2 linked regions of the Cricetulus griseus genome follow. The protein of the gene in region 1 purifies or fractionates together with the protein of each later gene. This does not show direct contact. Links are inferred from orthologs where the notes say so. Each region holds a gene or a part of one and is shown on either strand. Other genes may lie near its edges.

The links. The genes of interacting proteins can lie anywhere in the genome.
Region 2: the proteins of Ubqln2 (region 1) and Psmd2 purify together in Homo sapiens (affinity purification with mass spectrometry, with the first as the bait; 3 studies listed by BioGRID). This does not show direct contact. The link is inferred for Cricetulus griseus from reciprocal best matches to the Homo sapiens genes UBQLN2 and PSMD2.

The regions. Positions count from the first base shown.
Region 1 is NC_048604.1:111,414,172-111,418,553, reverse strand, and holds the start of Ubqln2 (ubiquilin-2), read right to left. Parts: upstream 2,888-4,382; 5' UTR 2,615-2,887; coding exon 671-2,614; 3' UTR 1-670. UniProt on the Homo sapiens protein: Plays an important role in the regulation of different protein degradation mechanisms and pathways including ubiquitin-proteasome system (UPS), autophagy and the endoplasmic reticulum-associated protein degradation (ERAD) pathway.
Region 2 is NC_048597.1:67,989,480-67,993,127, forward strand, and holds part of Psmd2 (26S proteasome non-ATPase regulatory subunit 2), read right to left. Parts: intron 3,350-3,648; coding exon 3,228-3,349; intron 3,096-3,227; coding exon 2,871-3,095; intron 2,606-2,870; coding exon 2,447-2,605; intron 2,275-2,446; coding exon 2,130-2,274; intron 1,959-2,129; coding exon 1,898-1,958; intron 1,508-1,897; coding exon 1,361-1,507; intron 1,231-1,360; coding exon 1,124-1,230; intron 415-1,123; coding exon 287-414; intron 57-286; coding exon 1-56. UniProt on the Homo sapiens protein: Component of the 26S proteasome, a multiprotein complex involved in the ATP-dependent degradation of ubiquitinated proteins.

The DNA.
Region 1 (4,382 bases):
GATGTACAACTCCAATTGTGCTTACTGTACTGTGTACAAATAATAGCAAAAACAACCAATGAATGGTATAAATCTTACAGCATTTGCTAGCAAAAATACATGCCAAAGTCACAATAAGCAATATTTTACCACAAATTAGAGAGCTTCAAATAATTTGCTTCTTTTTTAATATCTCCATTCTACATTAAATTACTATCATAGGCTAATGTTTAAAATGCAAATAAACTGGACATCTGTAGGACAGAACTTGTTCACCCAACTGTGAAGGCTGATACCTGTTTCCAAAAATCACAATAAATGCAGAATAAAGAGAAGTGTTTGCATGCAACACCTTTGAGTGAAACAGCATTGATCCCCACCATTCAAATCAGAGAAGGAAGGAAATCCAAAGAAGAAAAGGAAGGAAAGAAGAAGGGAGGGAAGGAAACAAAGAGGGGAGAGGGCAGGCTGGAAGGGAAGGGAGAGAGAGGGTGGGAGGGAGGGTGGCGGGAGGAGGAGGAGCAGGAAGGGAAAGAAGGGAGGGACTCCACCTTAAAATGCATCCTTTTAGATTTATAAGTAGACAGATTTAAAAGAATCAAAATAAAAGTAAAGCACAATTTTGTGTGTTTAAAGATTTAAGAGCCATTATCAAAAATAAGATACATTTTTTCAAGGTACAGAAATGTAATTACGATGGCTGAGAGCCCAGCAGCCTCTCAATGGCCGCATTGATGTCGCCTCCTGTTGCTATTAGGGCCTGCAAGTTTGCTTCACGATTTATGAACCCCATGGCGTTGAGCTGTTCCAGTTGCTGCTGAAATCTCATTTCTGCACTCGCCATCTGGGCAGGAGTTGGTCCTGCTCCTCCTCCTGCCAGAGCCTGCACCATCTGATGAATGAACTGCGGGCTGGGTAAAGTTTCCATTGTCGGACTGATGGTATCAGTAGCTGCACAGCTGCTCACAGTGGTTGCAGGGGGGACCCCAGTGCCGGTGGATCCAGGAGAGCTTGCAGGGCCAGTGGGTCCTATAGGCCCAATAGGGCCTATGGGGGTGAAAGGAACTATAGGACCCATGGGCCCTATGGGAGTGACTGGGCCCACAGGGGTTATGGTGGTTCCCAGGACTCCCACCCCCACACCTGGAGCGAAGCTTGGAATGAGGCCAGGTGCTTCAGTGGCTAGTGTCTGTAGCCCCTGCTGGATCTGCATTAACGCTTGCATCGCTCTCGGATTTGACATGGCCGCAAGCGTGTCTGGATTCTGCATCTGCTGCAGGAAATTCGGGAGCTGTGGACGCATCTGCTCTTGCAGCTGAGGATTTGAAGCAAACAGTGGGCTACTCATCATCATCTGGGCAGCCAAATCTGGATTCTGGCTCAGCGACTGCATCATGCTTCTCATGTAGGGTGCAGACAGCATATTCTGAATCAGCTGGGGATTTTCAGTTATCTGTTGCAGCAGGTTCTGCATTCCTGGTGTACTAAAGATGCTAGCAACATAATTAGCTGCCGCCATGGTGTTCCCGAAGGTGCTACTAGAGGAGCTACCGCCAGGCATAGTGCCACTGCTTGTGGTCGTGGTGTTGGTCGGAGAGCCCTGGGTAGCTGGCGTTGGTGCCCAAGGATTGGGCAGTGGATCCCGGTTTTCTGTGCGGGAAGGCTGGGTGCCCTCCCCTGAGGAACTGCTCCCCACCGTGGCAAAGGGGTTACCCCCAAACTGCTCCTGTGCGGCATTCAGCATGGGCTCTTGAATGTCAGTGTACATGCGCCGCAGAGCATTGTAGCCACCTGGGATGCTTTCGAGATTACTGAGAGCCAGGTCTTGATTTCTCATCATCTCTTGCATCATGGCAGGATTCCTGGCGATTTCGAGAGTCTGCCTCATTATATCTGGGTTGTTCAGTAGGTGACTGATCTCTGGGTTTCTCTGGATCAGTTGTTGCATCTGCGGATTGGCCATAATGAGCTGCCTCATCAGATCAGGATTCGAAAGCATGCTCTGAACAAAGGGATTTTCCATGATCTGGATCATCATCTCAGGGCTAGCCATGAGCTGCTGCTGCATATGGTTCTGAAGCTCAGTGAAGCTGGTCGAGTTCAGACCCAGGCTGCTAAGGCTAGCAAGTCCTCCCAGGGTCCCCGACGCAAACGGATTGTTATTCGTGAGAGAAGGTGTGGAGAGACTCCTGGGAGCCGTTGTCGACGCTGGCGCCGTTGGCGCCCCTGGCGCTGTTGCGGCCGTGGTGGTGGTGGTGGTCGTGCATGTTCCCGCAGTGGTGCTAGGCTGCGTGGTGGACTGGCTCTGAGGGCGGTTCTGGTTTTTGATGACAAGGTGAACAGTCAGTCCATCATGGATGCCATGCTGCATCAAGGTATCTTGATCTTTCAAGATTTTTCCGGCAAAAATCAGCACGAGCTGATCGATTTGCGATTTGAAGCGTTTAGAAATCGCTTCCTTAAACTGCTGGACGGTGCTATTCTCGGGCACCGCGAACTCCTCTTTCTCTTTGGGGGTCTTCACAGTGACTTTGATGATTTTGGGCTCGGCTGGCTCGGTGGCCTCGCCTTGGGCCGCAGCGGCAGGGCCGCGGGAGGGGCGCGGGGGGCCGCTGCTCTCGCCGTTCTCAGCCATGGCGGCCGCGGTGACGCAGGCTGGCAGGGAAGGCGCTGGCGAGCGAGAGGGCGCGAGGGAAAGAGGAAGGAAGGAGGCGCCGCAGCAGAGGACTGGGCGGCCCCGCGAGCAGTGCGGAACACAGTACCTCGGAGATGAATGGAGGCTGCAGCTCCCGGTAGTCGGATGCGCACAGGGTTTGGCGTAGGCCGCGGCCGAGCGCTGAGCGAGCAGGTCTCCAGGCCTTCTCCGCCGCCGCCTTGTGATCTGTCCGCGCGCACTCCCAGCAACTCCTGCAGCTGCGGTGCCCGCGCTCCCGCCCCGCCCCGCCCCGGCCCGGCCCCGCCCCCTGCTGACGCGGCGCCAGCCCAGCCACAGTCGCTCGGCCGAGTGCAAAACTCCTGGCCTGCAGAGGGGGGGAAAGGAGGGAGAGAGAAATAAACAAAGAGAGGGGGAAGAGAAGGAGGCTGGAAGAGAAAGCGAGGGGACCCGGGCGAGGCGAGGCGAGGCGAGGCGAGGCGAGGAGAGGGGGAAGGGAGGAGGCCGGGAGGAGGAAGAGGGAGGCAGCTTCTTTAGCAGCCCCTGAAAGACCAATGGAGAATGTGGGTTCGCAATCTGGGAGGCAGTGAAAGGATGAAAGCCTGAATTGAACCGATCCCATGCAAAGGACGAAAAATGAATAGTAAAGAACTCTGACAAAGCAAAAAGGGAAAACGAACACCCGGATGGGGGAAGGGCAGGCATGGCGGGAGCGAGCATTTTACAAAAGAAGCGAAAAAACGGCCAGCAGGCTTCTAAAATATGATTGTGCTCGCTATTAATCAAAGGGATTCAAATAAAAACAATGAGATTTTACTTCGACTTTATCATATTTGCAAAGATGAAAGAGAATGTTAAATCTTGTTGACCAGGAGCCGAGAAAATGCACTCTCATGCTAGTTGTAGTATGAATTGTAATACGGCAGTTTGAAAATACAAATGAACATTTTGAATATTTGCACCTTTGTTTAGAAATACCTAATCGATTCAAAAAAGCATATTATGATGTATATTAATAACGTAGCATTTAAAAACAGTGTTTAGATATTTTCAATGTGTGTGTAAAACATAGAATTACTCAAACATACTACGATAGTGCCATACAATAAAATAATCCCTGTATCTAAAAGATGGTGGCTAATTCATGTAATATTAAGTGTCTCTAAAAGTGTACATCAAAATGCACTGTAGTGACGAGAAAATAATAGATGGTATTTAATATGGGTTAATATTTTTTCTAAACAAATGGAAACAATACAGGCATGTAGATATTGATCAAAAAGCTAGTAGCCTGTGTGGAAAAGAAATCTGAAAGGCTGTACTCCAGTAAAGGTAACAATTAGAGCTGAAATTGTGAATAATTCTTATTTTCTATTTTTATCAGATTTTCAATTTGATGGATAAGTATGCATTGCATTTATAATTTTTAAAAACAACAAATATATTTCCAGACAAGAATGTAGGTAAAAACTGACAGCCAGACAATAGTGGTGGCAAAGATTAACCTATTTATCTTTTGCATTACTGAGTAAAGGAAATAACAATGTAGTATTACTGATAAAGAGAACATGAATCATAAAATAAATCCTTTCAAAAGCATGTATTAATTTCTCCTGCTTTAACCACAGAAAATCATTTTTCCCGTACAAAAACCTAGAGATAATTTAACAGCATTTCAAAATCATTACGTCACAAGTACCTCAATAAATCTCAGTATAAAACAAAATGCAGGCCTTGAATAAAAATGTGA
Region 2 (3,648 bases), on another chromosome or scaffold:
GTAGCAGCAGTGTTAGGACATCTTCCCGATTGGAGCCAGCATAAGCCAAGCCTAGACTACAAAGTCAGGAGATAAAGCCCCAGCTGTGTCAGGGACACAGCAAAAAACAACAAAAATAGAACCGATCACCAACACATTCACCAAGAGCCAGATACTTAATGGCAAATGGTAGTCTTTGGCAATGACTTCTCTAGAGTTTATAAGCTGAGCACTAACAGAAAGAGAAGCAGTCTCAGAAATCTAAGAATTTAAAAATAAATAAGGAAAGAGCAGCAGGAAACCTTACCCAAAGATGGAACCAAGTCTCATGGTATTGCTGTTATGGAGAACATAATCTGAAAGCAGTGCCAGGGCAGGGTCACACTCATTCCGGACCCCAGAGTTCACGATCCCACAGGCAAGGAGAGCTCCTGACTGCAAAGAGCAAGCAGACTCTTAACTACAAAGTGTGCAGCAGGACCTCTCTGTGGCACCTGCCTTACCTGGGGTGAAAAACTGGGCATGACTCAGGTGGTGGTTTGAACTGAGAATGGTCCTCATAGACTGACATATTTGAATGCTTGGTCCCTAGTTGGTCGAATTGTTCTGGGTAGGATTAGAAGGTGTGGATTTATTGGAGGAAGTGTGTCACTGGAGGTGCGCTTCAAGGCTTCAAAAGCCCAGGACAGGACCAGTGCCTGTCTCCCACGTGCAGATAAGATGTGAGCTCTCAGCTACTGCTCCAGCACCATTCCTGCCTGCTGTTGCCATGCTCTCCACAATGATGTTTATGGGCTGACTTTCTGAAACTATAAGCAAGCCCCCAACTAAATACTTTCTTTTCTTTTTTCTTTTGTTTTTTAGAAAAAAGGTTTCTCTGTAGCCCTAGCTGTCCTGGAACCTGCTCTGTAGACCAGGCTGACCTCAAATTTACAGAGATCCACCTGCCTCTGCCTCCCCAGTGCTGGGATTAAAGGCATGTACCACCACTGTCCAGCTAAAATACTTAGTAAGTTGTCTTGGTCATTGAGTCTCTTCACAGAGATAGAAAGTAACTAAGCCACCTCATAAGGGGGGGGGGGGCGCACATGAGAAGAACATGAGAAGAAAAAGTCCACAGTGAATTAGCTTTGCCCAGACTAACCTTGATATAGTCCTCAGAGGAGTACAGGTACTTGTCAATCTGGGTGAGGCCACCATCCACATCCCACAGCAGAATCATGCCAAGGGACGCAGCAGCACTTAACATCCCTATGACAAGGAAGACTATCAGTTTTAGAAAGGCCTACCCAAAGGAACTTATAAAGGAGTCCCCTGGAAACTGTACTGTGGGTCCTTCTCAAGTAACACCTGACTTTATGACAAAAAGAGAAAATTATACCATGGTCCTTGTTCTTGTAAAGCCATTTGTTGCCATCATCAGTCAGCAGTTTATCTTGACCAAAGGCTGCGTTCACAAAGCCATTCACAAAAGAGGAGGCCAGGTTCATTCGGGCAGAGTCCACCTGAGAGCCACTGCCACCAAACCCTGTACAAGGGGATATAGAAGAGGCAGTTTAGCATAGGACCTGAAAGGAACACAACCTGGTAGGCAGTCCCTGATTTTGTTTTTGTTTTTCTGTTTTGTTTTCCAGGACAGGGTTTCTCTGTGAAGCCCTGAGTATCTGGAACTTCTATAGACCAAGCTGGCCTTGAACTTAAGAGATCTGCTGCCTCTGCCTCTAGCAAGTTCTGGGATGAAAGGTATTTGCCACCACTACCCAGCCTGAGTCTCTGATTTTAAGTTAGTCCCATAGTCTAAGTCTCCAACAGTGTCCTGGACATAAGTTCATGGGAATTTGAAGTTCTTTATAGTGGTTTAGCCAAGCCATTATTCCCAATGCAATAGTCCCTCCAACCCACACACAGAGCTACTCACTGTTATTCTCTAGGTGTGTTTTGTAGATGTCATCAGGTACCTTGGGCTCCATAATGTCCAGCTAAAAAGAAGCCAGAGGGTCACAACTGCCTCCCCAGTATTCCCCTAGCTGTCCCTTCTGCTGCCCAAATGAGTAACAACTTTAACCAGGAGTCTAGTGAAAGGTATTAGGGAGACAGAATGACAGGTAGAATTTCAACAAAAGCTTTAGGTCAAGAGCAGAGAATCTCACCTCCCGAGCTAAGGCCAAGAAGTTGCTGTTGAGCTGTACATTGGACATGATTTCTGTGAGGTCTTCATACTCCTCTACATCTTCACTCAGCTCCAGGAAGACTCCATGGCGACCCAGCATGAATGCCATCTGCTTCTGTACCACCCTGTGAGGAAAGCCATCACATCTGCTCATTCTCACCTACACACCTGCTCATTCTCACCTACCGTGGGACAGAAAAGTGTCCTGTGCTCCCACCAGAAACTGTCAAGTCCCTGATTTTCACACAAATGCTCATGCACAAACTTATCTCTTCCTTTACCAACTTCTCTACGTACACATCCTTGCAGGAGGTGAAAATGTCTTCCACCAGTTCCATATCATTGAGCATCAATGCCAATCTCAGAGCTTCAGGGAAACGGCTGAACTTTCGGAACACACCCAAGGCACAGCGCAGTAGGGCAGAGTTCTCAGGTTCTGGTACATAATTCACACAACTACAAAAAGGCAAAAGAGATAAAAATTCAGAAAGTGCATTTCATTTATTTAATTCCTTTATTCAAATATATACTAAATGCATGTTCCAAGGTACTATGTTTCAAGATAGTTAAGGAGATACAAAGTTTCTGTCCTCAAGAAATTCATGGCATCAGCAAGTGACTATAGCCTAAGGTGACCCTAAGATCCTCTGGGAGAAGAGGCAAAATGAAAGCAGTGCTTTAGAAGGCAAGCCTGCTGCCGCCCTGTGCCATGCTCGCCTACCTGGTGAGATAGAGGCAGACCTTTGAGTACGCGTTCTCATCTATGTCCTTCTCCAGCATGTCTACTTGCTCAATTTCCATGAGCAGGTCACAAGCCTCATGCTCCGCGTTATGAGCCATATTGTAGGGGACAATCTCCTTCACCAAGGTAAGCAGTGGTTCCCGCTGCGCTTTCTCTGCATCATCCAGCTCCTGCCACTCCTTAGCCACTTCTCCTGCCAGATGTCTATGGACAAACACAATCATTAGGGAAGCAGGTCCCTGGGAGACTCTGGGGAATTGAATGCATTGCTATTTTCCCAAACCAACAGAATTGTGCCTACAAGTCCTTCACGTTCCCAAGAAGAAACTACCTTACCTGACATACTCATGACCCCATGATGCCAATTCCTCCTGGGAGCCCACTAGCCGATACTTGAGGCATTCACGCTCACCACTCATGGTCATGGCCAAAACAGATATGATGTCAGCAGCAAAACACTGTAAAGAAACCAATCTTTTTAAGGCAAAACCCAACAGTTCAAGGAAAACAGTATGTGACAATACACAAGTAAGATCACTGTCCCCAAAGTTCACCAATAAAATTCACAATATACTTGTTTCTATACTGAAAATTTCCATGTGATCTAAGCTAAGTCTCAAAGAAAACCTAAAGTTGGTGTTGCTAGCTCCCTCCAAAGCCAACCTAACTGAAGGGCAATAAGCAATGTAGAATCAAAGAAAGATAAAGGCTCCTGAGCTTGAATTTATGGAGACACTGGTTCTCATTATATCACTTA